Linked DNA regions of Cricetulus griseus. The main gene of each other region encodes a partner of the protein of the gene in region 3 in a complex. Links are inferred from orthologs where the notes say so. Each region holds a gene or a part of one and is shown on either strand. Other genes may lie near its edges.

Region 1 (8,544 bases), on a different chromosome or scaffold from region 3:
AGGAACAGCACAGTTAGCAACAGTTGGCCTAGATCCCTACTCCTACCCCTACCCCGGCTCCTGGTCCTGCCAGCTTACCGGTAGCAGTAATTAGGTGCTGACCACACAGTAAGCACGGTCTCATTGAAGTGCCACTTGTAACCTTCCATCACCAATTGATGGGCGCGACAGATCATGTCAATGTCATTGGCTGCATTGAACTGGGCCACCACATCACTGCCAAACAAGTAGCCTGCCCCACGGGGGCTCACTCCCCAGCCTGTTGTGTCTGAGACAAGACAAGGACAATGTGTGGGGTCCTCTGGTTGACTACTATACCACAGAATTAGAAGCCTGTGCCTCTTCCCCTCATCAACCAGAGGCTTGTTCTAGGGAACCCTGGAAGATAGGATAGTAAATACTGGAGCAGAGGCACTCCGAGGAGAAAGATGGCTTCATGGCTGGGACCTACCTCCTCATCACAGTGGCCATAACATACAATGTGCTGTTCAAGCAGCACTCAAGTGATAGGAAGTGCTCACACCCAGAGCACCAGCCATGACCAACCACTTTCCTGGCAGTAAGGTCACCTTATGCCACATGACGCAGACTGCAGTAACAGTGGTGGAATTAGAGAGTATGCTTAGGACTGGTACTCAGAAAGCCAGGCTTTAAACCTCAGTTCCGCCCCTAACTAGAGGGGAACCACACAAAATTAGGAACCGTCAGAGGTCTTCGTTCTAAGGGAATGGGTCTCACCTCCAAAGAAGCTACTGTCAAGGTCTATGACCTCTTCCCCCCAGGGAGCCAAGGGTTTCATCCTGAACAGACCCTCTAAGCCATGAAACTCATGAGCCAACCCACAGTAGGCCTCAGTGCACCACCATTCATGCTTTCTGCTCCTTGAGGAGGATCCAGTCACACAAGGAGAAGGCAGAAGCCAGTACAGGCCAAACTTGCCCTCCTCTTCCCTGCCTGACTTCCCTTCATACACTTGCTTAATCCAGTCTTCACAAGACACACGGAGAGCCAGCTCAGGTATTGCCCTCACCTTCAGGGTCAGACCACAAGAGGTCACACATGGGTCCATCATGGGGTACCTCTTGCTTTCGGTCAATTGTCCGGATCTGGTCCAGGGTCTGGATGGAAGGGGAGAGGCCCCCATGCACACAGAAGATCTAGAAGGGAGAATGATACCAGAGAGAAGGAACTAAAAGCCCAGAGACCCAGCACAGCCTCCCCCTCCCCCCAGGAGATCCAGGGCCAACCTACCTTGCCATCAATGATGGCAGACAGGCTGAGGTAGTCAAAGATCTCAGTGCAGTAGCGCCATACAGTCACTGAACCATATTTGCGCAAGCATTCATCATAGAAGCCATAGACCTGGGTGATCTGGCGGCTCTCATGATTGCCCCGGATCAAAGTGATGCGGTCAGGATATCGAACCTAGGGGTAGCACCAAGCAAGAACTGGTTCTAGTCTCTACCTCCCACTTAACCATCCCAAGTCTCCAAGACATCCATTAGCCTCACTCAGTCCTCTGCCTGGCCCAGACTCCCGCAGTCTCTTACATAAATCATGGTGTCCCTGCCTCACAAGCTCCTGAGAGCCTTTTCCAGAAGCTACTGCCAGACTCTGGCTCTTGTCCTTAGCACCCCACACTCACCCCATGTGGCCCTTCACTATGACTTCTCCCAGTTCACTTAACTCCTGCTGCTCCCTGAACACACAGCCTCTGCCTGCTTTCCAAAACTCACATCACCAGCCTCTTCTGTAAGGGCTCAGGAGATGGCCCCACTCATGGCAGCAGTCCTGACTAGCCCCGCTAAGCACACAGTCCACAGCCACAGCAAAGTTCCAAGGTAGGTGACAGGAAAGGTGATGAGGGCAGCAAGTAGTGGCCAAAGCTCAGGCTCCAGGGGCCAAGAGTCCTCACCTTAAGAGCCAGCAGGAGGAGGAAGGTTTCAACACTGTAGAAACCACGGTCCACAAAGTCTCCCATGAAGAGGTAGTTGGTCTCAGGGACATCGCCACCTACCTGGGAGGAGGGATACGACTCTGCTTGGCCCCAAACTATCCTCTCTGGCTACAGCAACCAGAGTCTAGCTGAGCCCCTTCTCTCACCCACAGACCATGCAGCCTAAGACCTATCAATGATCATGGCTTTCTGTCACCCTAGGTTCAAAGTCCCAGTATCCCCCCACTCACTCTGAAAAGCTCCTTGAGGTCATAGAATTGTCCATGAATGTCACCACATACCTGGAAAGAAAGAATGTGGGTTGAAAGAGTGGACAAAGGCACAGTCCCTCTATTCCCAGACACCATCCTTCAAAACACATGTTACTTTCCAGGCCAGCCAGGGTGACACCACCCCATCTCAGGACCCAAATTCCCTCTCTAACCCAAGTGAGCCTGTTCTGGTGTCATCTATCACACCAAAAGCCAACTGCTATGGTGCAGAAGAGTCTTTGCAGGCAGACTTGCAGCTTCAGGAAGACTGGCTTCATCCATTTGCCTCTATGTGCTCAGCACAGTTACTAACAGGGCTATTGATCCACAAACTTCTTCTGCCTTGGCTGCGAGCGTCACCAGGACAAACCAAAATTCCTACAGCATCTTTTATTTTCTTGTGGCACATAGAACACAACTCAAGACCTCATATATACTGGGGAAACATTCCATCACTAAATTACAAGATCTGTGCCACTATCTAATTCTTGCATCAGGGCTCACCAGATGATTGAGAAGCAAGATACCTGGGGTGTTCTAGCCTCTCATTAACTTAGAGGTGGGGGGCTGTTACACCACTTAGGATTTCCATGTGTCTTAAAAGACCAAGTCAGGGTCCAAGAGACAGAGTACTCACTGTGACTGGCGAGTCCACCCTCTGCACGTTGCTCTCTTCTACCAAGATCTCTCTGGAGACAGGAGAAGACCAGGGTCACCACAGCCAGGCCAGCCCAGCCCAATTCCTGACCTTTTTTGGAGGGAGGGAGGACATGAGGTAGTCCTTGAACCTCCAGGGGACAGAAGGAAGTATGCACTTCCCCATGAATCTGGTCAGAAAGCACTGACCATGGCCCTCTACCACTCAATACCTGCTCATGGCTTCCTGCTGCCAACTGGACAAAGTCCAATTTCTCACTTCCACCCCAACTCCTATTCAAGCCCTTCCAAGCAGGCTGGGGCATATCCAGCCTTGATTCACCCTGTGGTTCCTTCTCAAAAGTACAGCACACACTCTGGGAGGGTTGTCCTTTTCTCTTAGAGCACTGACTGTCCCTAGGCTGAGTTCTGACCTCACTCCCTACCAATCGGATACACTTTTTCAAAGGGTTGTGCTGCTCCTTCCTTGTAAACAATAAATCTTATTTATTTTTGGAGACGGGATCTCATTCTGTATCCCTGGCTAGAATGGAACTTGATGTTTAGGCCGAGCTAGTCTCAAGCTCAAGAGATCTGCCTGTCTCTTCCTCCTGTGTGCTGGAATTAAAGGACTGTACAGCACACCATGAACACACAGCTTATGGAATTGGCTCTAGTTCTTGTAGTGTGACTACTTCTCAAAATCCCTTTGGTAGTTCCTGATGTCCAATCTCAGCAGTCCTCCATTTCTAAACCCAAGCTTGGCAAGTGTAGCATAAACACTGCAGCTCACACACAGGCCAACGCAGCACGGAAGGTTTGTTAGGGCTGGTGCCATGGGGCAGCCAGCACTGGGGCAGGCATATTCCGAGATTCCCAGCGCACACTGATTGCTTTGAGTTCAAGACCAGCCTAGTTCAAGGCCAGCTAGGGCTACATGGGAGGAAACACAGACACACAGATACCCTCGATCGCACACTCGCACACCTCTCCCTCCTGCCTCGAAGGATTGGAGGGGAAGGGTAAGAACTATGATACTGTTCTATTAAACAGGGTAGAAGCCACACTGAGACAGTTCCCAGAAAAGGCAGGTAACAAGCCTTAACTGTTGCCTACATATTTCCCTTTTACTTCTACCCTGCTTGAAGGTTCCTTGTCCCTGTGTTTCCTCAGCTAGAGTTTATCTTTCAAGGACTACCCTCTTTTAGAAGCCCAAGAGCGTCAATCCACAAATACACCATTAGTGTGCCCTTCCCACCATAAATATTACCACTTCATGACTTACCCAAACACCATGCTTCAAGCCGAGATTCACTGAATGAATATTCACAACCATTTTACTGAACATCCTCACTCAGTAAACCAAGCTGGTGTGGAAGGAACTCATTATGTTCTACTCTAGTTTACTGTGTTTTCCTTAGGATCCCAACGGAACATGAGAGTGACCCAACTACTTCTTGAATCACAACTTAAAGGATCAGCACTCAGAGAACCAGCTTCAGATCCCATTCCTCCTTGCTGGCAATTCTGAACCATTATAGCCCTTGCTTGTTAAAGTGAGCACAAAACCACCTAATCTTTAAGGACTGATAGACTTTTACAAACCACGAGGTTTCTTGTTTGTTTGTTTTCTTGAACCTGCTTATTCTTCAAGGTCGGTCCCAGAACTCAAGCTCTCCAAGAAACTTTCTCTTTCGCCCCAGTAGAGCAGGCCGGGTTTCCTAACTTTCCTAAGAACTTTTTGCCACTCACTCTGACTCCACTAGAAACGTATCTACAGCCGACCCGTGGTTCCTGGGGAGAAGTGGCCCTCGGGACCGCTCCTCTCCGGGAATGCTTCCGGGATGGGACAAGCCCTAAGTTCTCAGCTGAGTGTGCCCAGCCGGAAACCCGTGGGCGACGGGCCGGCCTCTCTCCTGCGGACCTGCGGGCTCACCTGGCCTTCGCGCAGAGGGCCTTGACTTCGCTCTCTTTGATGAGCTCGCAGCGCCGCAGTTGCTCGATCTGCCGGTCCAGGTCGCTGATTTCCGCCATGGCCCACCCCCCGGCGCGGGTCAGAGTCGGGGCCGCCGCCCCCTCCGGACCGCACAGGGGTCTCCTGGGAAAGGCGAAGGCGAGCCCGCCAATCAGAGGGTCCGTGCGGGAGGGGGGACTCGATTCTAGGACCGCCCCCCCCTCCCCTCACGGCGGTCCAGGACCCTCGGCGTCCCGATGCCCTGGCCGCACCCCGCCAACTCCCGTCGAACCCCGCGGGCCCGCGCTAAGGACGGTGGCCTAGAGGGGCCTCGGACAATTACCGCCGCTAGGACTCCGGCTGGGTCTCTCCGACTCCCCACTTCCCTCCGCTTTGGGCCTCCGCCACCGTCGCTTCTACTTCCGGCCTCGCCGCGGAAGCAAAGGGAGGCCAGATCGGTCGCGCGCCGGAAGTGACATATACCGATCACGCCCCTCTCGCGGCGCACGGGAGGAACTAAAGAGTCGGAAGTGGGCGGGCGACCGGGTCTGGTAGGCAAGCATCTCTGCGTCAGTTATGTACGCCAAATGACGTGAGCTCTGGTAAGCTTGTCATCTCACATTGCACTTTCTCTTGCTGACTTTCTGTCCTGCTCCTACTACAGATCTGAGAAGTGAACTGCTCAGTTCATCGTTGCTTTCCCAGTGTTTAGAATAAGGCTAAGCATTGCAGACATGTATAGTCCAAAATGAATGGGCCAACCCTAGCCAAGTATCTTGCCATGGGCCTTTGCCATGGGAACTCAGAACCTGGGCCAGGTATGTGGCACATTTATTTGTAATCCCAGCATTCAGGGGGCTGAGGCTGGACCGAGGATTTGAGGGTCTCATAGCTACATAGTAACCGCTCGGAAAAACAAAACCAAAACCCACCAAAATAGCATATTTGACACCAAGGACTGCCTGTCACCAAGCCTAACTGACTTAAATTGGATCTCCAAGACCCACAGGGGGTCTAATTGGAAAAAAAAAAAAAAAAGTACCTACTCTCCCCACATCAAGCTTGTTTCTAAGATTCCCTAATTCCAGAATAGTCTATTATCTATTTCTTGACAGGGTCGCATTGTAACTCAGGATGGCCCAAAATTTGCAGTTGACCTTAACACACAGCAAATCTCATCTGGGCCTCCCAAGTGCTATGATTACAGGTGTTACACAATCACACCCAACATTACTTCCTATTGTCTGATCATACTCCTTCAGGGTGTTGGTGGCTCAGGTTAAATTGCTAAATTGAAAAGCTAAAAATTTGGTGTTTGAACCAAGGATCAAATGTGAACCCAGGAAAAGTGGTTCTCATCTTTCATTTACTTTCTGAAACTCAGAGCAATACAAAAAAGACCTAACACTCTCCAAATTCACATTGAAAGTCTTCTGATTCCTTAATCTTTTGATGGAGTAGCCTGATTTTTAATCTTCCTAATTTACACTTTTGAACATCATACTCCCCTTTGGAATGTCTTTTACCATCCCTCAATTTTGAACATGTTTTTATTTATGTGTTTTCTAGAAGCCAAGGGATGGTGGCCCACACCTTATCCTGGCAGAGGCAAGTGGATCTCTTGAGTTTGAGGCCACCCTGGTCTATAGACAGCCAGAGCTACATAGAGAAACCCTGGGGGGGGAGGGATAGGAGAGAGATCCCAAACAGAAAGATTGTTTCCCAGAATTAAATTAGAACCAGATGGATGACAGGCAAGTGTTCAACCACTGGGCTATAGGCCATACATAGAAAGATGTGGACAGCAGACTTTTGATACTCCAAAGACTATTCTGTGCATAGAAAAGTGTGAAAAGGAAAAATATTTTGAAAGGGAAATAGAACAGAAAAGATTCAGACCAGGAAGGTTACAGAAACCACAGAAAACTAAATGGTTAAGACTAAAACAAGTCCCCGTTTATACCTATAATCTTCAACAACTTTAAATTACTAGAGGTATGATGGGGCTGAACACTTTTGAGTACCTTTTGCTCTTCCAGGAGGCCCATGTTCAATTCCTAGCACCGACATGGTGGCTCTCAACCATAACTCCAGTTCCAAGGGATCTGATACCCTTTTCTGGGATCCAAGGACATCAGGCACACATTGTACGCAAACATTCAGGCAACACTCAACATTGGGTAGTCCATAGTTTGGTGGGGGGGGGGGGGCCTTGTTCTGCTCTGTCCTTAACCCGAAACCTGAATTCTGCAGTTGTGTACCTGAGTTCTGTGTGTACCTATATCTGCGTGGGAGAAGATTGAGTCTTCAAAGGCTCCTAAAAAGCCATTGGTAATTCCATTTCCTGTTGCAATGGGAAAATAGCTACGTTTATTAAATGCTTTGTTCCCACCAAGAAAGTTTCATCTTGGGCAAGATAACAAAGCCTAAATTAGGAATGAGAGAGAGGGGTGTCGCTCAGTGGCAGAGTCCTTGCCTAGCATTCACAAAACCCAGGCTTGGCTCCCAGCCAAATAGGCTCAGTGCCCTATGCCTATAACTCCAGCAGATCACTCCCTTTCAATTAGATGTGGTTAGAGCATTTCACAATACTCAGCCTTCCTCAAAAGTATACAGATCAACAAAGCCTTATTGCATCCTTTTAACTACCCAGAAAGGAAGAACCCAAAATAAGGCTCTCTCCTCAGGCCTCCCGTATCCCCTATAAGACATGGACAACAGACTCCCCCCTTAAATAGCTGTTTATTGGCAGTGGGCTGGATGGGATGGCAGAATTAGCATTCAGAGACAACACCACACACCAGTCACGAGGGCAAGAGTGATGGGAAAGAGCCTGAAGGCCCCCTCTTGAACACAAGTGGGTAGGCAGGGGCCTGGAGTGTTGATGGGGCAGCCAGCCTTAGATCACCTCTGGTTAGTAGGCATGATTAGAGATGAAGAGAGATTCACTGGCTGCAGCTCCAGACTGACCACTTGGGGTATACTTTCCTTGACAAGCGAGGCTGTTGGCCTAAAAGGGAAGAGAGAAATCAGGTGAGAGCCAAGTCCCCTCCACTTGCTCACACCCCCCCTTTCATGATGCTTTACCAGGGCTCGCTTGATGTACTCCTCCTGGGCAGCCTTCAGATTCTCCTTCTTCCCACCCCAGGCCTTCAGAGCAGAGGCCTGCAGGGCTCGGCCATAAGAGAAAGTCAAGGCCCATGGCTTCAGCAGTGGGCACTTGTTGATAGCATTGAGGTTGATGGATGCCTCTTCCTCACTCTGCCCTCCAGACAGGAAAGTGACCCCTAGAGAACAAGGGCAGAAGGAAAGAGGTGGCCTTCGTTAAGAGATAGATGCAGGGAGTAGCCGCCAAAAGCTACCCGGAGAGGCCAAAGTGATGGTGTATCCACTCCAGCAAGCCAAGGGAGTGGGCCTCACCAGTAACAGCAGGGGGCACTGTGCGACGAAGTGCTGTGACAGTTGCCATGGCAATCTCCTCATTGGAAAATTTCTGGGTACAGGCATGGCCTGGGGTGACCATGTTGGGCTTCAACAGTGTGCCTTCCAGATAGACATGGTGGTCACTCAGAGCCTTGTAGACAGCAGCCAGTACCTGGAACAGGGCAAGGTGAGATGAAGGACAAGGACCACCTGAGTGGAACCCTGCCCACCACATTACCCTGGCTAGAAAGACAGGCAACCTACCTTCTCAGTTACATACTGACAGCGCTTTAAGTCATGGTCCCCATCAGGGAGGATTTCGG
Region 2 (6,993 bases), on a different chromosome or scaffold from region 3:
ATGTGTATACGAGGAAGCTAAAGGGCAGCTTAAATGATGGGGGAGGCAGCTTTTAAGGTACCAATTCAGAAGTTTCACAAAGATCTGCTCAGTAAATGGGGCGGGGGAGGGGGGAGAAGGGGAGGGGCGGTATCTCAGTATGTGAGCCATTCACTATGAGAGTCCAGGCAGGCAACGATGAGTACCTTGTGTTTGCAAAGGTGAGACTTTATCTGTGGACCCAGGACAGGGCCTGACCTCATGCGCACTTAGCAACTGACACCTGCCAGAGCCTGTTGTGCTTCCTAACAGGTTGTCCTCTGGTTTGGGGATTACCATGGCAACAAGTGGCAGGAGTCAAACCCAGGGGATCAAGACTTTTGCTGGGGTGCTGGGCTCCATGGGAGAGCACCGGCTGGAGGGGAGGGGTGGGACTGAGGGAGATGGAGACAAGAGCAGTGGGACAGAAACAGCAACCGGATTTACCTGTGCCGTTACTGGATGTAAATGACCTCCCCCCCCCCCACTCTCACCCCCGACTTTGGGGTGTACACTACTCAGAAACTGGAGGGTGAGAGGGGCTTGAGAGGACCACACCACACATCTGACGGGCTTGGCAGGGCAGGTCTTCCAGACCTCGATGCCAAAGATTCAAATATCTCATTTCTAATTATCTTTTTGTGTGTATAGATGTTTTGTGTGATTGCGTGTTAGTCTACCACATGCTTGCAGAACTCGAGAAGCCCAGAGGAGGATATCAGAACCCCTGGGAATGCAGTTACAACCACCATGTGGCCGCTGCAAATCGAACCCAGGATTAAATTTAATCATAAAACATTCAAAAGTATACTTCACTACTCACTCACTTCTGAGTAGTGACGAACCCAAAGACCATAAACTCTAAAACTAAAGCCGGTTTCACTATCTTCACCTTACACAGGAAAGTAGCCAGAGAACGACCGGTTCCTGCTAGTACACTTAACTCCACTTAAATTACTAGTCCTCGATTCCGTACTGGCTGCATCACTTAGCAGCTAACTTTTAATGGAGACTAGTCACAAGGTCGACCAGGAATGAGAAGCAGGAAACCCTGACTCACACATCCTATCCATAACACTTTGTGTAAAGCCACAAAGGAACTGTAAACCCCCTCTCCAGACAATCACTTACCATGCAGGTGCCTCAAGGTGGGGTTTCTCAAATGATTACCAACACACATATCAATGCATGTAAACTATCTCCAAGTCATGCCAACAGAGAATCTGCACACGCCTAGCAAGACCCCCACTGTCCATGCAACTCTGCATTCTCCCTGCTGGCACCCTCACTTAGGTCAAGCATTAAGCTTCCTCCCTGCTGACCCTCAACTGAGGGAAAATGGGGAGAGGCAGGTGTGCTAGAATAGTAAATAAAGTAATTCCACACATGAAGACATTCTTCTATTTTACATTTTATTGCATTATGAAAATAATACATTTATTTGGCAAAGTGATCTAGGCTCCAGGTTGAAATAGAGAATTCTGGTGTCCGGATTATTTTTTAAATGTGAAATATATGTACTCTAGCCAATACATACTAGCATCCTTGTTAGGCCAACAACCCAGTCAAACTAATTTTCATAATTCCATATGAAATTACAAGGTCTTTTTTGCATCCATTCATCTCATGATTAGCACAAAACTCAAGAACTGACCTTCATTTTGTAAGAAACTCCTGCTCAAAAAGACAATTTGAAACACTACTCAAAATAATTTGCTTTGGCTCTGCAGGTACATTTCCCGTCCTCTCATTACAGTTTTCACATTCAAACATCGCAGCAGCTTTAGGCTCTGCCCAAGTACCGTTAAGTAAACTAGTACATTACATACATTATTTGAAAAATTGATTTTACAAATGCATAAATACATGCCTATCTACACTGTCAAAATAAAACACTGGGACCTCAATGCTCTAACAGGCCAGCCAGACTTTCCAACCCAAGACTTCTGGGATAGGTTTCCAAAGCCACAAGTTACAGCTCCCTGACTAACTCCAATGCTCTGACCACACATGGGCAAGGCTGTAGTTGTGACAAACAGTAAGTGGATTAAACTTAATCAACACTCAAAATATATTCTCACTATTCATTTCTGTTCTGCCACATTCTCAGAGCTGAAAGCACATTTTTCAAAAAGGTTCACCTTTTAAAAGGGGGAAATAGCAAAAACAAGTCACATGTATACTGTTTTCTCATCAGCATCACCCTATTGCATGTCAGGGCTGGGAATGGAGAAACAGGTAAGAATCAGAGGGCCAGCTACGTCAGTCATCCAAGTCTTGATTCTCCTGGATCTTCTCATAGAACTATGCTGGGTACATTAAGGAAATGTGCCTAAAACTTGCCTTTTAAACCTACATATGACTCAGTTCATGTTAGAAATGATGCTTTCTTTGCACAACGTCTGTGGTAAGTGCACCTAACCATACTGTGGAAATGGGCTTCCAAGGGGGCAAGGCATTTACAGCCTGTTGAGCATGGTTTCACAATGTGATGAGTATTGCAGCTGCCCTAGAAACCTTCCACCAGTATCCTACATGTATCTGTATAAACAGCACAAACTTTCATCTATGATCAACATAGGAATAGCTAATAAATATTAAAACTATTAAACTACAGATTAAAATGCAGACCTCTCATAGAATTGAGTGATGTCATTTTGGTACATTCACCATTATTGTACTTTATTTAATAAAGAAATACATTTTCCCTTGCAAAGATAGCAATTGCAAGTTTACAAATAAAACCACAGACCACCATTCATGATGCTAAATCTTCAACTTTTAACCAGCAGCAAACTGATTTGTTTACAAATGGTCCATGGCACCACAAATAAAGACTATCAAAGGTCACAGGAGCTTAGAGAACAGGTTTATTGACAACAATCTCATAAATATCCTAAGGAAAACCTGTTTCTAAACCTAAAATGTTTAAAACCTGCTCTCACTAGCAATCCCTCAACAAAATAGAGTAACAGGTCCACTACATATGAATGTCACATCCAAAATTTGCTTCATTTTAACATTTTGCCAATTTTTTTTAAAAAATTACATTTGATTTTCACCCGTCTTGGGTACAGTAAATCAACGTTCAATTTTATTAGACTCATATATTGTCTGGCTGCTGTGAACCTGAAGGTCATCAGTCAGTAGTATATTACTCTATGAACAAATGGAGCCAAATATCTTGTATTTTTAGTCATAGCAATTAAGTAGTCAAAATGCAAACTTTGTGGTTCCCCTCCAAATCCCCCAAAGCTTATGATACAGTGTGAGATGCTGTTTGCATCACCTACTATAAGTCCATCTGTGTACCTCAGGTGTCTGAAACTAAAAAAAGGGATTCTTTTGTATTTTGATAAAAATGTACTCGAATATTTCATAACATTAATATTTATTGCTTTATATGAATACTGTATTGAAAGCCCAAGCATTCAGTTTACACACGAAATTATACAATTATACCGCTTCACAAAGGCAGTGAACACATTACAGTCTACAAAATCTACTTTACAGAAATTTAAAAATTCTAAATATCAAAAGGTACAGCTGAAGAAACAGGTATAAATTTGGCAGCCAGTAATTTTGACAGGGAAGTTGCAGCTTGCATGACTTTAAATATGTGAATTTGAAAATATTTAGAGTAGTAACCATTGTGCTTTGTGTTGATCTGAAAAATATAACACTGGCTGTCTAAGAAGCATGTTCAAAAATATTAATTCACTTCAAAATGTTGTACAAATCATGGTGGTCTGTGTACCCCTAAAGCTCAGGTACATTACTGAAGTAATCTACTTATTCTTCCAGTACAGTGCTCTTTCACACCAGTGCCATGTGCATACAGGATAACTCAGAAACAAAGGTGTGATGTTCACAATGTTCAGAAAAGCAAGTGAAACGTTAGGGGACCTGCAGGCTCTTCTGAGATGGTTTCCTGTCAGTCTCCTAAGCACTCCTTCTACCAAACAGTGAGCTAAAGCTCCTACGCAAATCCCAAGATAAAGCACATTTTCTCATAAATAATGAAGTTTTTTTTTCCCCCTCAGGCACCTTAGAAGTATACAAAAGAATTTTAGTTTGCACAGATCTGTTGGAATGTGTTTAACCTGGTATTTGAATAGACTTAAAGATTCCCAGGGTTTTCCAGGGCCAGATTTTATCTAAATTACTCAGAAGAGAAACAAAGTATCTTCTGAAGGAAGTGAACTCAGTCATTACCAATAAAAAAGTATCCACTGTAGTCATCTCTTATAGAAACAGAAAAATATAACATCCCCCTTAGAATAATCTATATATGTATATATGACTTAAACTTCCATTGGACAGTTGAACAATAAAATCTGAAACCACATGAAACCCTATAATTCACATGTTAACATGTTCAAACTATGACTGAAATATGGAAACCGCTAGAGACAAGACAAAAATCTCCCTTGTGTATGTATAAACCAAATGTGATCATCTTTAAAAAGTTTTCAAAATTATAATTATCTTCCAGTTTAAAAACTTTAATTCTAAAATTAAAAAAAAAATCTATACACAAACCACTGATTTGAGTACACCAGGAAAAAAACAAACAAAAACCCAAACAAAACAAGAAAATCAGCAATAACCAGGACCCAGAGGAGCCGGTATTCACAGCTCTTCGACGCACAACTCTTTCAGGGTTTATTCTTAAGTTTATTTTACAGCCTGTTTCTCTTGTAAAACTAAAGGTCCACTTTATTACTTAAAAGTTTTATACAGTGTAAAACCAGAACTGTATGTAAAATACTGCCTCTAAATGTTTCTAAGTAGTTAAGTCTTGTTCCATTGGTTCATCTGTCATTTCTGTGGTTTCATCATTTTCCATGGATGACACGGAGACACTTTCTCCCGTTTTCCTGGAAGTGGTCCCTCCTGGCTCTTCTGTCTCAGGGCAGTCAGAACCACTACTCACAGCCCCTGCAATGTCACTCCGTTCCGAGTGAGGATCTCTCTGAGCTGGAGACCCATCAGAGTCCTCCATGTGCGTACCCTCCTCTGAAGGCTCTTCATTCACAGCTAAGGCGTCATCAGATTCTTTTTCTTGATTTTTTTTCTCTGAGACCATTTCTCTCGGTGTCATAAAAGATTCTAGAAATAAGCAAAAGCTGGAATTAAATTTTATTTTCCAAACACATCCAATTGAGTTTCGTACACTGTTATCTACAGATCGTATCTACTCAAACTTGGCAACCACACACAGGTAGGACAAGAGCCCAACACCAGCACTGTGAGGAGCACCACTGAATGTACTCACGGGAACTCTCCTCTCACCTTCTTCCTCCTCTTCTTCCTCCTCCTCCTCGTCCTCCTCCTCCTCCTCGTCTGTACAGTGCTGCCTGCTTTGACTTTCCCTGTCCTTCTCCGGAGGGGAAGATGCTGCTTCAGCTTCCTCAGTGCCAGCTGAGCCTTCACTGGACACCGTGTGGCTAACTGTCTCTTGGTCTTCGTCTTCTATGTCAAAGCGCAGTCTTTTCACCTCATGCCCCTCAGCCTCCACAGTATCTTCATCCGGATGTTTATTTTTAACAGGGCTCAGTGAGGAAACTTCTGGTTCAGATGCTGGAGAGTCACTGCCGATGGTTTTTAAAGTGTTATTAATAAAATTATTTTCGTCATACTCTACATGCCCATCTGTAAGTTTAAATACTTAACAAACTGCACCATCAAATTAAACACAACTACTGGTGCCGAGAAAAACACAGAACAATCATCGAAAAGCAATCTGAACCATTTCATGGATGTTCCCACTGGAACTGACTTGGCTAGTTCTACCTTTCTGGGAAATTCTAGAAAATCTTGTCTACATTCATCTCTAGCTGTACTGACATAGTAGTCATAGCCCAGCCAGCCACATTAAGGCCTGTTCTTTCCCTCAGAACAGTAAACGGGTCACCCCACAGGACCCATGGAAGTTCCAGGACCAAAATCTGAAGACCTCGAAGTCCATATATAAAAGGTACAGTATTTGCACACAGCCTCCCTTATAATTTAAATCACTGCTAGGTGACAGAATACCTAATTCAAGTAAATAAACACTATGTGCACGGGGGACAAAGTCTATACCTGGCCAATACAAAAGCAATTGTTTTCCTAGTTACTTTTGATTTTGATCCTTTACTGGTTGAATCTACCAAACCCAGAGACGGAACCCACAAATACAGACAGTCCATGTACCTTGTGAATTGTAAATAGTGCTAAAATCCACTAACAGACATTAAATTTCTATGCACTTCTTTCTCTTCTCTTTAAATGTGAAACATACAAACCTGTGGGCTTTCTCTTCACTTGGCTGCAGATCTGACTCTTTGCTATCTGTGCTCTCAGGTAAACCATTTGTTGTCAAGGGGGCTGACAAAGAAAGTTTTGGTCGATTAAGTGGCCTGGGTGTTCCAGGCCCATTTATATTAGACCTATAATGAGATAAATGAACGTTATTTTCCATTTTTAGAAAAAATTCCAAAGTACACATCACAAGTATTTGCTCTAATTTTGGCCTTCAGATGCCATGATAAGCAAATGTAGGCTGGTATAACCTACAATGTTAGGTAGGTTATACAAGATCTTGTATCTTCCCTGTAACATGTTCAATTTAAAAAGAGTATAATGAACCTGCTAACTCAAACCTACCAGAAAACTTGGACATTCTGTATAGTTTAAAAAAAAAATAAATTCTCACCTGTCAGTATAGTTTGGTGAGTTTCCAGGAAACATAACACCATTCATTCGATTTAAACTATTAGAACTGTTGTTCTTCCTGTAATAAAAGAAAACACTTCAGCTGGGCATGATGACTTTAATTACAAAGGGGGGGGGGGGACAAGCAGAACTCTGTGAGTTCAAGGCCAGCAGGCATTATATAGCAAGTTCCAGGACAGCCAGGGCCAGAGTGAGATCTTGTCCCAAAACAAAAGAAATAAAGCAATAAAGGGAGGGCAAGAAGGAGGGAGGGGT
Region 3 (7,913 bases):
TTTGTGTGTGTGTGTGTGTGTGGGCCCACCATGACCAAGGCATCTTTACTTCTTTCTTTTAAAAGATTTATTTATTTGTTTGTTTCTTAATTTATTATGTATACAGTGTTCTGTCTGTCTGTATGCCTTGAGGCCAGAAGCAGGTAGCACCAGATCTTATTAGAGGGTTGTAAGCCAAATGTGGTAACTGGCACTTGAACTCAGGACTTCTGGAAAAGCAGCAGTGCTCTCAACCTCTGAGCCATCTCTCCAGCCCCTATATTGTGAATTATAAGGGAAAATATATATGGATTTCTGGATATAGCTCCAACAGCAATTTCCTAATAGTAACTCTAAAGCTACCCTTTAAACATACACTTAAGTGTAAGCCCTAAGGAATAAGCTGTAATAGTTTGTCACACATCTGTGACCCCAGTATTGAGGAGGTTGAAATAGGAAGATTGTAAGTTTGAGGCCAACATGGGTTCCATAGAGAGATCTCTTAAACAAACACACAAACAAACAAAACCTGAAATGAAAACAACAGCTACTTTTTTTGGTGTATTTTTGTTAGCTGTGATTATAGTACTTTTACACAAATTTCATCTTAAAAATCTCTTGAAAACACACGATAAAATCTCACCCAATCTATTAGAGATGGTTACTTCCTTCTTAGGGTATATCCTGTTGCTCCTGCTTCTGTTCCTTTCTTTATAGACTTAATTTATTTTTTATTGTATGTACATTAGTTTTTCTTTTGCCTGCACCATGCACGTACAGTGCCCATGGAGGTCAGAAGAGGGTGGTAATGACTGGAGTCTGTAGACTGTTAGCAGCAGTGTGTGTCCTCTGGAAGAGCAGCCGGTGCTCTGAACTGTTGAGTTATCTCTTCAGCCCCAATGCCTTAAATCTAAACTGTACTCAACATCAGTTTTTGAGTTTGACAATTCAAGAAAGCTACGAACCTGAGTTATCTTACCTTTACTAGGCTTGTCTTCTGTTGTATTTGCTAGTAAGGGAGCAGTGAGAACATGCATACAGTGCTTGTAGAAGAAACCCAGAAATTCAGTCTTTTCTGTTTTCTAAGGAATCAAAAATACTTCGATGAACTTTATTAACTGTATTGGTTCCTACCAGCAATAGAAAACATACTGCTATGAACAAGAAGAAATAGCCATGGCTTACATTGGCAGTGGCTAGCATGTTCTCTGGGTCAACTAAAGTTCGAAGCAGGCCCATAAGTTGGACTGCTCCTCCAAGCTCAGGATCTGTATCACAAATCATATGTTCTATAATGAGGTTGATGAGCAAAATATCCTGGTGATAAAAATACACATAATATAATTACTAAGACACATATTATAGCATTACAGCTAACACTAGCCATCTTGTTAACTTCAAACAAAGTAGTGACTATTTAACACGATAGATGGGAGTGTTTCTTTGTCCTAACAGATGATACAAAGACTTTAATAGGACCAAAAAAATTAAGTTTATTTTCCCATTATTTTTTTCTCCAGGGTGCCCTAGAACTAAGAGACTGTCCATCTTGCCAACTCAGAGATCTGCCTGCCTCTGTCTCCCAAGCGCTGGGATTAAAGACATGTGCCACTACTTCTGGCTTTTTCTATTATCTTTGAACTTATCTGATTAAAGAAAACAATAGGATCACAAAAGCCAGGTTTGGTGTTAAAACATGTTTTGTTTCTCTAATAACTTTATTCTCTGCAGAAAGCTCATGGACTTTACATTCGTGGTTCAAAATAAGAATACTTATAGTCAGAATTTATAAAACTGCTTTGCTTTCATTGCTTCTTAATTTTCTTTTCTTTTTGACACAATAGCAGTTTTCCATTTGTGGAAATGATAAATTGGGTATAGTGAGACTGGAGTGCCCAGAACAGTAGTATATAATGTAGATTACAAATGTCAGAGAAAACAATTTATGCTTTTCCCAAGGACCTTTAGGGATGGTGTTCTTGGCCCAGAGGATTAATAAAAACTGAAGGATACAATGAGCAAACTCCTTCTGCTTGCCTATGTATGCAGTGGTAAGACAGACAAGGACAAAGAAAATGCAGACACTATATGGAAATGATTGGTAACTGAAATCCAGAGGCCTAATGCATGTTCGTGGGGTGTGAAGATGCACAGGCCGGCATGTCTGCTCACCCAGTGGTTACAGGGCCTAAGAGAACAGCCTTTAGCTTTAATTACTCAAGATAGTCTGGTTCTCAAGATAGGACTATTTCATAGAAGAAAAATGTGATCATGATTCAATAATTCATGGTACATTTCTGCACGTAGTCTACCACTATAATTTTAAGAAGGAACCACAAATAGAAATTACTAGGCATTCAACTTCAAACTGGTGGAATAGTAGATTTTTAAAAATGTTATGCTTCATTTTGCAAGAAACACTGCAAGCTGAAATTCTGCAAACTCCCCTCCCCTAAAAGGAGACATAAATTTCCTCTTCTCAAGGAAATTGAGACGGTTTGAATCTGTTCTTAAGTAAAATTTGGGAGGAAGGAGAAAAAACAGAACTACTGGTTTAGTAGAGTGAAGTAGAAAAGCTCATACACATCCAGGGCTTCTACATACACTATGTCCCACCAAATTCAATCTACACTGCCAAGACAGGCTAACAGATTTTAAAGCCAATTTACCTATTCTAATTTCTGAGTAAATACCACCATAGCTTATATGAGAGTACAAGAAAATAACTTATTTTTATTATTATAAAGAAACACTTCCCTAATACATTTCAGGGCCATATTTTTTCTTGATTCTGAGGCTCCACCTCTAGTAGTCTAAATGCTTTCCAGTGAAAGTTACTTACAGTTCCACAAACAGAATGGTCAACTGATTTAAGGGTTTAAATAAGACAATATAGACAAGTCAGCTTCATAATTTAAAAGTTGACATCAAATACAATAAATTTATAAACTAAGGCAGGAGCAAATTAAGGGGACAAATGAGCCACCTAACACTATGGCTACACTTCCCAAATAGCAGCAGTTTAAATCTTAAAAATACATAACCCCAGCTATAGTCTTCTATGCATAAATACTTACTATTAGTGTAAATAATATTTACCTTGCTGGTTATTTTTTGCTCTGTTAACTTCTTACTTACATCATCATTCTGTTGTGCCTCCTGCATGACAAACTCTCGTACCATGGATGGATTATATTCAACCAAGTATGAGAATATATCAGTAGCAGCACTTCGCACCTGTGTATCATCCATGCCCTGCATAGAAAAAGTGCCATTCTCTTACAATTATAAAAACATGAACTTTATCAACAAAATTATCCAAAACCTGACAAAAGAAATTGTCACAAAGCACCAGACCATAAAACAAACATCTAAATGATTGGTAGGGGGAACCACTTTCCTGGTGGTGTAGCCACTGGTAAGTTGATGCTCTAGCAAACAACTCCTTATCCACATTCACTTATATAAGCAACCCTAATTAAAACCACTGGGTCCCAAAAAACAAAACAAAGACATGAAAGTAAGATAGGAATGAGAGCCAGTCAGTGGTGGCCCACACCTTTAATCCTGGCACTTTGGAGACAGAGGGAGGTGTATCTCTGAGTTTCAGTCCAGCCTGGTCTACAGAATTGAGTTCCAAGACAGTCAGTGCTATACAGAGACCCTGTTTAAAAAAAAACAAAACGGAAAGTAGGGATGCTTTAGGACAAAGAGAGGGATCAGCTAAAGTGGAAAGGAATGAAAAAGAGGATGGGAGACCATGATCACAACACACTGTATGAAATGGTCAGAATTGTAAAAATTTATCTAAGGGCTAGGGAGATTGCTCACTGGATAGAGCAGTTACCAAGAAAGCCTAAAAACCCGAGTTCAAATCCCAAGAACCCATGCAAAGCCAGGGATGACAGTGTCCACATTTGTAGCCCCAGTGCTTCTATGGTAAGATTAGAGGTGAAGACAGGGGACTCCATGAAAGCAACTAACCTAGCTAGCATGCAGTATATAACAACAAAAGGCAAGAGACCCTCTCTCAAACTGAATGGAAGGAAGCACGGATTGATACCCAAGTAGGCAGCATACATAGCAATGTCAAAGGACAAATCTTAGGAGGAGCCAAGGTCTTCCTTGGATCTGTTGCAGTGCTGCATACTCAAGGCTAGCTGTCTTGTAAGTTTCTGGACAGATCTGCCTCAGAATCCTACCTTACTGTGTGTTCTGGGATCATATTCTCCCCTCCCTCCCTCCCCCCCACATACCCACCCACCCCACATCCAGCTTCTGCTTCTGACATGGGTTTCGGGGATTAAATTTTAGTCATCAGGCTTGCATAGGTACCATTTTTAGTGGCGGCACCATTCCCCATCCTCAAGATATATTTAAAACCTTTTTTTTTTTTTTTTGGTGACAGGGCTTCTCTGTGTAGTCCTGGAACTCACTCCGTAGAACAGGTTGGTCTCAAACTCAGAGACCCATTGTCCTTCCTCTGCCTCTCTAGTGCTGGAATTATAAATATGTATATAATTGTCTGTGTAATGTATGATTTTTCAAGATCTAATTTCTTTGTGTAGTCCTGGGTGACTACACAAAGAGACCAGAAGTGCTTGGATTAAAGGCATGAATCACTATTCTCAACCATGTCCTTTTATTTTAACATTTCATTTGATAGGCTATAAAGCTAATTATTAAAGATGTGATTACATTATTATATGTATGTTCATATGTATGTACAACAAGGTCTAATTGTATAGCTCTCAAAGTCCTGGAATCCTTTGTATAACAGGCTACTTCAAACTCACATAAATTTCCCCAACTCTACCTGGGATTAAATGTGTATTACCACCACATCCAGCAAAAAATTATTTTAACAAAAGCAGTTTGCTAGTTAAACAAAGGAGGACTCTAATACTGGACTTGTATCATTTCTGTTAACTCTATGCTACACAGCTAGCACTAAATATCAGCTATACTCAAATGCTTTGCCTACTTCATAAAAACTTCTGTATTTATGTACTTAGATATATATGTTAATAATTAAAGAAAGAGAGGCCATTAACTTAGAGTTACAGAGAGAGAGAGAACACAAGCAGGTGCCTGGGAAGGAGGAAAGGGAAAAGTGATACAATTTTATAATTTCAAATAATAAAACTCTCCAATATCACATCCAGTTTTTGATATGGTTCACCTGGGCAGTTCAGAATGTAGAGAAGCAAACTTACAAGGATGACTTCTAAAGCTGGTAATATGCCCATATTTGACAAAGTCTTGAAAAAAGCATCTCTGTTTTGGGGTTGTAGCGTTTGAGAAAATGCACAAAATTCTTTTAAAAAATTAACCTGAAATCAGGAAAAAGGACAAGTATTAAAAAGGTCAATCTTAAATTAGAAGAGAATCAATTGAGTGTAAATGGCTATTCCACTTCTCTACCCTTCTAGTGTATGATTTCTTACCAATTCTTGTCTTTTTTCCTCATCTGTTGCTTCATCTGTCAGTTGTGCAAACAAATCTGTCAGAAATTTTTCATCTTCCTATGAAATAAATGATAAATTTAATTATCTTGCTGGCAAGACTATATAAAATACAATTTCAGCATGCTATAAACTAGCTTGATAAAAGATGTCATTTTTTTAAAAAGGAAAAAGTCATCTATTAAAAGATGTATGTGTGTGTGTGTGTGTGTGTGTGTGTGTGTGTGTGTGTGTGTATGTATGTATGTATGTATACACAGCCAAATGTTAGGGGCACACATCTTTCTGCCCAGCACTAGGAAGGCAGAGGCAGGTGGATCTCTATGAATTCCAGACCAGCTGGGTCTACATAGTAAGTAAGACCTTGTCTTAAAACAAAACAAAGACAAACTGGAGACTTCTATCAGAAAGATTACCTTTGTGTTTTGACAAAACGCTTTTCCTGCTTTAGAGCCAGGAAGAAAGTGTTTCATACCCTGCAAGCCAGTGGTTTCTCATTCACTACTACTGCAAGTCAGACTGATTATAGCTGTGTCACCATGAAACTTAATAAACACAAGCACAGCAAATCTGGCCTAGTGCCAAATTCTTAAAATTACACCAATGGGGAGGTAGAGGGAGAAGGATAGAAAGTTAGGGGACAACATGAGCAGCAGTGAGATCCAGTCTCTTAAAGAGTCAAACAAAAAACACATAAATGTAGCCAGTGTTTGCCAATTCATTGCACAAGCTAATGGCAGAAATTAAGGTTCTACAACCTCTCTCCAGTAAGGATAAAAATGAAACATTCTTTGGGCTTTAAATATATAGAAAATGATTTTTAAAATGTTAAAATTAGAGATCATGAAGAATTATCTAGGGCTAGAGAGGTGGCTCAGAGGTTAAGAGCACTGACAGCTTTTCCAGAGGTCATGAGTTCAATTTCCGGCAACCACATGGTGGCTAACAGTCACCCATAATGAGATCTGGTGCCCTCTTCTGGTGTGCAGGCATACATGGAGGCAGAATGTTATATACATAATAAATCTTTAATTATACTCATTAACACACTAAATTTTTTTGAGATAATTATTTAAATTTATAATATTTATGACATTACTGGCAGTGGTGGTGCACGCCTTTAATCCCAGCACTCAGGAGGCAGAGGCAGGTGGATCTCTTTGAGTTCGAGACCAGCCTGGTCTACAAGAGCTAGTTCCAGGACAGCCTCCAAACCCACAGGGAAACCCTGTCTCAAAACCACACCCCCCCCAAATATTTATGACATTAATTTTGAAAAGGCCCCAAAGGATTCTATTACAGAACATTTATTATTTTGGGCAAGTAATATAGATCCTCTCTGGTACCCAGGGAACCTTCTTCATTACAATTTCTCATCAAGATTTAGCTCATAATTTAAATCTATTTGCTTAGGTAGGAGTACATTCAATACTACTCCAGTTAAAGTGTAAATTCATGCAGACTACAGTGTAAGTTTTTAAGAAATTACATTTATCTATATATTAGGAATGAGGGGAGCACTGTGCCATAGAACACATATGAAGGCCAAAAAATAACTTTCTGGAAGTTGGTTCTCTTCTTCTAGCATTGAGCCATCTTGCAGGTCCTATGTAGTAAGTTTCATTTTCACTACGGTAGGAAACATTTCTATACAACACTCAATTATTTTTTCTGAAAATGTATAAATACATGATTCTGACGTTGTCTTCTTTTTTTCAAAACTAATGGCATCCAATTTCAACATACATCCCAGATTAGTATCAGAGCATTTAATAGTATTACAGAGGAACTAGTCAATTAGAGTGTGTAATTTTGTATGTGTACATGTAAAGGGTTGGTAGGGAAAATATAACTTAGGGGCTGGAGACAAAGCTCAGTGTTTATACACCATCAGCACCCACTGAGTGGGGTTGGAAACAGGGACAAACAAGGACACATAGCAATGTATAGGTCCAGAGAGGCTCTGCCTCAAAAGAATAAGGCAGCAAGTAACAGGTCACCCAGTGTCCTCCACTGGCCTCCATGTATACAAAAGTGCCTGTACCTGAAAACCCACACACAGACATCACACCCACACAAAACAGAAAAATTCTAGTTCAGTTTATGGTTTTGTCAAATACTATGTAACATAGTTCACATTCAAATCAAGAATTAATAGACACCGTTTTTAAAGTTACCTAGTTTTACAAAATCTTTAACACTTTATTGTGTGGTTTCACTTGATCTTCAGACACTTCATAGTATCCTATATTAATATGATTTTCCAGAAGGGAAATTCAAGGTTTCCCATAACAAGCTGTTCAGATCACACAGCAGCTATTAAGTAACAAGTGAAGCCCAAACTCCCACTACTCTCAACTACTACAAAAACACATTTTGGAAGGGACAAAGGCAGATGTGATTACAGGTACCCGATGTGGGTAACAGGACCAAGCGGCAGTTCTCTGGAAGAACAGCATGTGTTCTTCT
Region 4 (7,913 bases), on a different chromosome or scaffold from region 3:
TGTGTGCTTCTGACACTGTGGCCAAATCATCAGTCCTTCGGGAGAGCAAGCAGGAGCCTGCAATGCATTCTGCTGCCCAGCTGCTGGAGGCACCGCAGGTCACCACGGGGCTCGGGCGCTGCTGTTACGCGTCAAGAGGACCAGCGCCACTTATTCCCTATTCTAGAAGAACCCTGGCAACATCAAGTAACGGCAGAGACACTAGAACGTCTCCATTTTAGCACAGGTCACCACCCTTCTGTGATACTGAAATCACCAGTTTGTTCCAAACACTAGGATCCCAAGAATATTGTCTTAGTTGCCCAAAGTCAAAACAACAACTTAGCAAGCACTAGTTACTAAACCTGACAATTAATACTGCTTTCCTTATACAGAAAATTCAATGGTGACTTTCATTGTTTTCAGAAATCCAGCTATAATTTGTAAATATCATTACCATCACTTCAGCTCTCTCTGGGGTCTTTCAAGTTTCCAAAGCTGAAGAGAACTGTGCTCAAAGCAGCCTATACAGAATACAGTGTGCAAATGTCTCATGCCACTGACGTGACATGAGGACTTCTGCCTCCTCAGAGCATTAGAACATATTTGACACAGACAGCTCACTTGTCTCTAGCAGAGTACCTACGTCCCACCCAGGCATGTCCACCCGGACCGCATTTCTCCAGGCCATCTCTTAGAGAGGGGTCTTTCTACTATCTTGGTGTCTCACCTTATAGGATCTGTTTGTTCTGCCAACCTTTTCTTGGGAATCTACTGTATCGACAGTTAACAAAAAGGGTTTTTCCGCCGGGTGGTGGTGGCGCATACCTTTAATCCCAGCACTTGGGAGGCAGAAGCAGGTGCATCTCTGTGAGTTCAAGACCAGCCTGGTCTACAAGTGCTAGTTCCAGGATAGGCTCCAAAGTCACAGGGAAACCCTGTCTCGAACAACCAGGCCTGGCCCAATGGTTAGTTGTGGATTTCTGCATCTGCTTCCATCTGTTTCTGGAAGAGCTTCTCTGGGGTTGTGGATTGTAGGCTGGGTATCTTTTGCTTTATGTCTGGTATCCGCTTATGAGTTAGTACATTTTTAAGATCACCTTTGGAGTAAAGAAAGAACATAATGGACTCACCCATACCTTTAACGTCTGGGTCATCCATGTGTGGCTCTAGGTTCTCTATCATTTCTTCTAATTCCTTCCGGGTAGCCATGGTGATATTAGGAGAAGCTGGTTCAGGGACTCCGGGTGCATCTCCTGTGTTCTCTGGGCTGAGTCTCTCCCCAGAGTCCTGCTGGAGCTCTTTATCAAGATCTATTTCAGGTAGAGGAGTCCTCCAGAAATAGAAGGAGTTGAACAATTCCTGATCTAAAGGAGTGGAATCTGGGGAGCTGGTGCCAACCTCTGACCGGATTGCAGACTTGCAGTTATCAGGCTTTTTATCATTCTCATCGCTAGCTGCTTCCTGATGAGACTCTGAGGACAAAGTACAGAGTGAGGAGCTGTCCTCTGGGACACTTATGTCACCTGCTGAGTTCCCAGAAGTCTTGGCGGCACAGTCTTCCCGTGTGCTCTCCAGGCTGGCACTAAAGTCTGCGGGAGCATCCTCTGTCCCCATCTGCTCCTCTTCGGCAGCATAGTGATCTTTGAGCCTTTGATTCATTTAGGGAGAAAAGAAACATGGAAGCACACAAAATAGTTACTGGGAAAAACTAGTGGAAAGCAGGACACACAGCATTTAGACTCGCTAAGTGTTTCAGAGGATCCATCACCCACAGGGACCAAATGGTCTTCCCATTGATGGTCCTGTATTCAGACATGTAAACACCTGTCAAACTTATCTCAGCAGGCAAGCATTATCAAGAGCAGGAGAAAGTGACACTTAAGAATCCTGGGGTGCTGCAAACTACTGGAATATCAGTAACAGCAGGAAGAAGTGGATTCTAAGATACGTACAAACTATTTATTTGGGGATTGTTTGTATTGCCACTGTTCAATGACACAGTGAAAGCTAAGAATCAAAACCATTTTTGCTTATAAAAGAGGAATAAGAAAAAAACTCTATAGGGCAGTAGAGAAAATACCTATTAACTATTTTATAAAAATATATTAAAATCTACTTAAGTGTAAATAAAGGGTTATTTTTATTTCTTCATCTCCTATCCTACTTCAAAAACAGGTTTTTTTCCAGAAGGAAATCAAGATATAACAGATAAGGAAAAGCAGCACAAGCTCCTAGTGAACAGGCTGCTGCCATCTGTCCCCCCAACTACAGCCTTCAGTTTCACGACTTCCGTCCCCCTGTCCTTTATCAGTGAGTAGTTGTTGGGCACCTATGAGGACCCGGGAATAAACCAGGGTTCAGGATTTGGTTTGCAGAGTTAGGTAAAGTGTCTGCTGTGCAAATGTGAAGGCCCAAGTTGAGTCGCCCAGCACTGATGCACACCTATAATTCCAGTGCCAGCAGACGAAAACAAGAGCTCTCTGGGGCCTGCTGGTCTCCTAGCACAGCTGAATTGTCAAGTGTCAAGTTCCAGGTTCAATGGGAGACCCTGTCTCAAAAAACAGGGTGGAAAACAACTGAAAGATGCCTGAATTGGCCTCTGGCTTTTAGGCACGCACGTACACAATCTTTAGCATACACAAATAATAATAAACAAAAGGAAATAAGCAGTTGTGGTTCACACCTGTAAACCCTGCCCTTGAAAGGCTGGGCTGGAGATCAAGAATTTGAAAGCAGCCAGGCCCTACAACAACAGCTAAAAATAAAACCAAAAATCCTCACCAAAACCCTGAAAACTGAGTATATGTTGTAGCACCTACTCCTGAGATTATAATTACAGGTAAACAAACAATAAACTACAAAAGCAAATCACCATCGTGACAATTAAAATGCAGCTGGGAGTGCTGGCTTACACCATTAGTCCCGAGAAAGGAAGTGAGAGGCAGTAGGATCTCTGTGAGTTCCAGGTCAGCCTAGTCTACAGAGTGGGTTTCAGGACAGTCAAACTACATATACAGGAAGAAATGTCTACTCCATCCCCAAGAGGAGGGTGTGGTCCCAAGTGGAGGGCCTGAGCATCAAGCAGAGGGTGCAAAAGGAGTGGGAACCAAGGTCTTAGAGGAAACTGCAGGTCAACCAGCAAGTGTTTATGGGGTAAATGGAAGAAAAACATTCAAGAAGAAAAAGCAACATAAAGGCAAGTGCTGCCATGAGAGACAGCAAAATGAGAGCACTACTGGATGCTCTGGAGCTAAGAGGAAGGAACAAGTGGCTGACCACTGCACCTCAGCCACTTGCTTCTGAACTTACCCTGTGTGCTATACAAAGGATGATGCGACTGTAGACAGCCTGTCACATAGGCTATGATTCTGGGGGTGTGGGTGTGGACAGTGGACACACTGACAACTATTTTGTTAACAGACAATACACACGAAATGAACCTGCTTCCCAACAGAGGGCGGGCGGCAAAATAAAGGCAGGGTGAGCACAAGGAACAGGGTGCACCCACAACAGTAAGCAGCCAGAAACAATGCAACTGTTTCAACAAATACAGCAGTGTCCACTTTTCAAAATTACTTTTGTTCTGATAGGAATCCAATCCAGGGCACATTCTAGGCCATGGCTCCATCACTGAGCTACAGCCCAGACCTCATTATTTTACTCGGTCTCTGTATGTACCATCTTCAAAGAAAGAGGTACTAATAGCCAGCAGGTCTGATAAAGACAAGATGTCTATAACCAATAAATCTTTATAAAAATGCTAAGTGACAGTACATGTTTCAGATAAAACATTACACACAAAATAAAAAGACGGAAAAACCTAGAGGCAAAACTTTACTCCAGGGGCTGGAGAGATGGCTTAGCCATTAAGACTCAATGCTCTTGTTTAGGACACAAGTTTGGGTCTCAGCAGCCACAGTGGGTGGCTTGCACACAAGCGGGCGGGCGGGCACACACACACACACACACACACACACACACACACACACATGGGGGGAACATACACATCATTAAAAAAATACAAAAATCCCTTACTTAGTCTGACACTGAGAAATATGAATCCTAGGGAACTGAAAACCTGAGAACAGAAACCAAATTCTAGTTCATCCTGGGTTCTCCGCTTTCATAGTGGTTTGGAAACACAGCAGTGCTTAAATTTAAGGCAAAGCGATCAAACCTCTGGTTCTAGGTGGCCATGCCCGACTAGACGTACAAGTGTTGCACAAGCTTTTATTGCATTTTTAAAGCATGCCCTTCCCTGCTCAGGAGTTTCCTTTCCCTTCCTAAGTCGTTAACAATTCAATGACAACTGTAAAGTCCAGGGCTACAAATAATTCAGACTTGATACCAAGACACAGCTGGTATTACAGTGCAAAGCCAATCAAGACGGCAAACTACTGCTAAATAGCTGTTCTCCAGCGACATCCCTCTAGCCATCAAGCACAACTCCACAGCCCAGCAACTGCTCTTATTAATAACATGCCACCCAAGCACAGCAAGGCGAGCAGAGCCTAGCGCCATGACCGAGAATGAAAAGGCTGACTATCTGCATCTACGGGGAGTGGTCCCTGCTGTCTTATACACATCCCTGTCTATATATTTACACACTCACTCGTCAGACCCTTTCCACATTTAAGACCAAGCTATATGCCATCTTCAGTATACTTAAATTGATCATTAAAAATAAATGTAAATAAATGATTATTAAAAAAAAAATGTAAGCTGAGTTCAGAAATGAAAAGCAGGCGACACCCACCCCACCCCACCCCACCATTTTTATAACATCCCTTCCAGCAGCGGTTCCCAAAAGCACCAAGCCCGAGCTTGCTAGAGAGACCAAGTCAGATGCCATTGTCTTCCTTTACAAAAAAACAGTACCTCAGATGTGTTTGGCAGGACAGTAGGAGAACAGGCAAAAAGGTAAAACAAGGCAGCAGAGGAGAAAGGAAGGACTGTCAAATCAAAACACCAAGAAAGCAAATACCACAGTATCAAGACCTACAGAAGAAAGTGGGCATTAGCACCAAGGCAAGGGGCTGTTCAAGAACATGTCCGCAGACGCTTACGCACGTCCCCTGCACTGTCGGACCCAAGTAGTTCTCTGAATGTGTAACCAATAAACCATAGAACTAAGTGCCAATTACAATTCCTGAATGCAGAAATCTTACAATAAGATTTCCAACCTTTATTACAATTTTGGTTATCTTTAAGTTATGCTTTTATTTAATAAGCACATTAATTTAGGACCAATTATTAATATTACAATGATCATTTTATAGACAGAGAATCCAAGACCCACATTAAATTAATTGACTATAAAGAAAAATAAGAGTCAGAGTGAACTATAAATAAAAGCAAACATATTAAAGTAGGTATTAGAAACAAAGTTTAGAAAGTATTTAATAAATGTATAAGCCTGTGTGCTGAACAACAACAGGTTCCTAGGCAAATCACCATTAAATACCAGAAACTACCGAATGTGTCACTCATATATTTAAAAAAGTAACTTTAAAACATGTACTAACTAAAAAATATTTGGGTAAAATAGTGAGAATGCCGTTTGCAAATAGTACAAGTGGAATACAAAGCTTTGTTTGATATTATACCTGTTTTTCTCTTCTGCTGGTAAATCTTCTGAATTTTTGCCCTCATCTTTGAAACACTGGCCTGAGCTAGATGGATTAGCAAACGTAGATATGAAAGGCCCCAAAGACTGAAAGGCTGCTTGGCGTACCTAAGGAGAAATGAGGACAACAAGAAAACAATAAAAGACAAATGAAATAACAATGCACACACAGAGAGTGACTACTCTGCACACACCAAAGTACAGGACCATAGGAAAGCCCTGTCAGAGAACCCTGAATCCATCTTTCCTTGGGATTTAAAAAGCTTTATAATTTTTTTCTTTAACTTTCAGTTTTTCTTCTGACTTGGCTATTCTAACAATAGGAGCCTGAGTGCTACAGACTATAATACACAGAACAAAACAGACCCTTACAAACCCTTCTTGTAAGCTCTGAAAACAAGTGATGAGAACTGAGACTGTCCAACAGAAGTACACTCAGTCTTTCAATGAGGAGAAACTGACAGCTATAAAGATGACTCTAGATTTAGAGGCTCTAACCCCACTTCTGCCGCAAGGGCACACTCGGACAGACACACTTACTCAAGAATGACAAAGGCTCTCACCATGTACCTCTGGCTGGCCTAGAACTAATTATGTAGACCTGGCTGGTCTCTAACTACCTGCCTCTATCTCTTGACTACTGAGATTAAAGGTGTAGACCTTCAGTGCCTGGTAAAACTACATATTAAAAAAAAGAAATTAAGAAAAAGACAAAGCCAGTGAGTGTTAAACATCAAGTCAATATGACTTGTATTTACAAAAACAAAATAAAACAAAAAATTTCCAAGTACCAAAAAGACAACCTTTAGTAACCTTCTATTTAGCCCTGGCTGTCCTGGAACTCACTCTGTAGACCAGGCTAGCCTCAAATTCAGAGAGCCACCTGCCTCTGCCTCCCAAATGCTGGGATTAAATGTGTGCACCACCACCTGACATTCTAAAATTATTTCTTCAATTTCATGGGGTTAGAGAGAGGGCTCAGTGGTTTAAAAGCACTGACTGTTCTTCCAAAGGACCTAGGTTCAGTTCCCAGCACCCACGTGGCAGCTCACACCTGCCTGTAACTCCTGTCCTGGGGATCTGACACCCTCTTCTGGCCTCCATGGGCCCCAGACACACAGGGTGCACATACCTACATGTAGGCAAAACACCCATAGACACAAGAGAAAAAAATTAAAAACAAATTTCTTAAAAAAAAAAAATCACACTTAGTTTGAAACAGACTCAATGTTACCCAACGTGAAGGGTCGCTGATCAAGTTAATGAAGAGCGCCGACAACTTTGTCCGTCGGATCTCCTGGCAGGTGGCGCAGGAGACAGCCATGAAGCACTCAGCACAGGCCTTTCGCACTCCCCAGACGTTATCAGAGCACAGCTGGAAAAACCTGGGCAGCTATGTGAGCACAAACACAAGGTCACCAGTTACCTTCTAGTCTCTGTTTTAAATGCTGGATATTCTTAAAAAGTAGAAAATGTATTTAATGATGGTAATCAGAAAATTTTAATAAATTACATCCACTTATAATTCGCTCTAGAAGTGCAAAAGCACCAATGCACACACTTGGCGTTGCCCAAGAGCTCACACCTGCGCTCCTTTTGATGAAGGAACTTGTACACGGGGTACACACATGCTACAATGTAACGACTGAGGCTGCCATGAGGTCTAAGTGCCAATGTGAGTATACAAGTAAGACTGAAGACTCAGCTGAGTCAATTGATTTACTAGGCAGAAATGGGGAAGCTAAAGTCTATCAGTGTTTCTCACATGGATTTTAATTTTCAACCAACCATCCTTATCAACATACATTCCAAATGCCGCCTTGAAGACATTTAAAATACTAAACTTGTAAGCATCATTCTGGTTTGGAGTCATGGGGCCATGTTAATAATCTCTACTACTCTGTAATACAGCGTTTATTCTTCACTATCTGGGACACTTACCAACATTTCCTCTGTGGCTTGCTGGCCAACTACACTGCAAATATCTCCAAAATTGGCAGCACATACCTGTAACAAAACCATTACTAACATTTCAATATCACATACAGAGTTCCTTAAAAACAATCTACTAAATTTCACTATCAGAGCACCATGCATTCTTTTTTTTTGTTTTGTTTTGTTTTGTTTTGTTTTTCGAGACAGTGTTTCTGTGTAGCTTTGGAGCCTATCCTGGCACTCACTCTGTCTGCAGGCCATGCTGGCCACGAACTCAAAGAGATCCGCCTGCCTCTGCCTCCCAAGTGCTGGGATTAAAGGCGTGCAACACCAACGCCCACCATGTACTCTTAAACACAAAGACCAAAAC

What was found.
Region 1: Ppp4r3a (region 3) and Ppp4c share a complex: the UniProt entries of both Homo sapiens proteins name them as parts of the PP4 complex. The link is inferred for Cricetulus griseus from reciprocal best matches to the Homo sapiens genes PPP4R3A and PPP4C.
Region 2: Ppp4r3a (region 3) and Ppp4r2 share a complex: the UniProt entries of both Homo sapiens proteins name them as parts of the PP4 complex. The link is inferred for Cricetulus griseus from reciprocal best matches to the Homo sapiens genes PPP4R3A and PPP4R2.
Region 4: Ppp4r3a (region 3) and Ppp4r1 share a complex: the UniProt entries of both Homo sapiens proteins name them as parts of the PP4 complex. The link is inferred for Cricetulus griseus from reciprocal best matches to the Homo sapiens genes PPP4R3A and PPP4R1.

The regions. Positions count from the first base shown.
Region 1 is NC_048596.1:73,946,529-73,955,072, reverse strand, and holds the start of Ppp4c (serine/threonine-protein phosphatase 4 catalytic subunit), read right to left. Parts: upstream 5,295-8,544; 5' UTR 5,142-5,294; intron 4,943-5,141; 5' UTR 4,879-4,942; coding exon 4,781-4,878; intron 2,898-4,780; coding exon 2,846-2,897; intron 2,239-2,845; coding exon 2,188-2,238; intron 2,018-2,187; coding exon 1,916-2,017; intron 1,426-1,915; coding exon 1,252-1,425; intron 1,158-1,251; coding exon 1,031-1,157; intron 269-1,030; coding exon 79-268; intron 1-78. Other genes in the region: Aldoa (fructose-bisphosphate aldolase A), read right to left, coding at 7,713-7,808, 7,886-8,085, 8,219-8,393, 8,486-8,544. UniProt on the Homo sapiens protein: Protein phosphatase that is involved in many processes such as microtubule organization at centrosomes, maturation of spliceosomal snRNPs, apoptosis, DNA repair, tumor necrosis factor (TNF)-alpha signaling, activation of c-Jun N-terminal kinase MAPK8, regulation of histone acetylation, DNA damage checkpoint signaling, NF-kappa-B activation and cell migration.
Region 2 is NC_048601.1:43,105,746-43,112,738, forward strand, and holds the end of Ppp4r2 (serine/threonine-protein phosphatase 4 regulatory subunit 2), read right to left. Parts: intron 6,797-6,993; coding exon 6,719-6,796; intron 6,453-6,718; coding exon 6,309-6,452; intron 5,613-6,308; coding exon 5,314-5,612; intron 5,131-5,313; coding exon 4,805-5,130; 3' UTR 2,876-4,804; downstream 1-2,875. UniProt on the Homo sapiens protein: Regulatory subunit of serine/threonine-protein phosphatase 4 (PP4). May regulate the activity of PPP4C at centrosomal microtubule organizing centers.
Region 3 is NC_048598.1:104,695,090-104,703,002, reverse strand, and holds part of Ppp4r3a (serine/threonine-protein phosphatase 4 regulatory subunit 3A), read right to left. Parts: intron 5,505-7,913; coding exon 5,427-5,504; intron 5,313-5,426; coding exon 5,196-5,312; intron 3,235-5,195; coding exon 3,079-3,234; intron 1,297-3,078; coding exon 1,165-1,296; intron 1,062-1,164; coding exon 959-1,061; intron 1-958. UniProt on the Homo sapiens protein: Regulatory subunit of serine/threonine-protein phosphatase 4. May regulate the activity of PPP4C at centrosomal microtubule organizing centers.
Region 4 is NC_048595.1:454,769,086-454,776,998, reverse strand, and holds part of Ppp4r1 (serine/threonine-protein phosphatase 4 regulatory subunit 1), read right to left. Parts: intron 7,616-7,913; coding exon 7,550-7,615; intron 7,002-7,549; coding exon 6,843-7,001; intron 5,717-6,842; coding exon 5,589-5,716; intron 1,631-5,588; coding exon 1,119-1,630; coding exon of another isoform or gene 1,113-1,118; intron 1-1,112. UniProt on the Homo sapiens protein: Regulatory subunit of serine/threonine-protein phosphatase 4. May play a role in regulation of cell division in renal glomeruli. The PPP4C-PPP4R1 PP4 complex may play a role in dephosphorylation and regulation of HDAC3.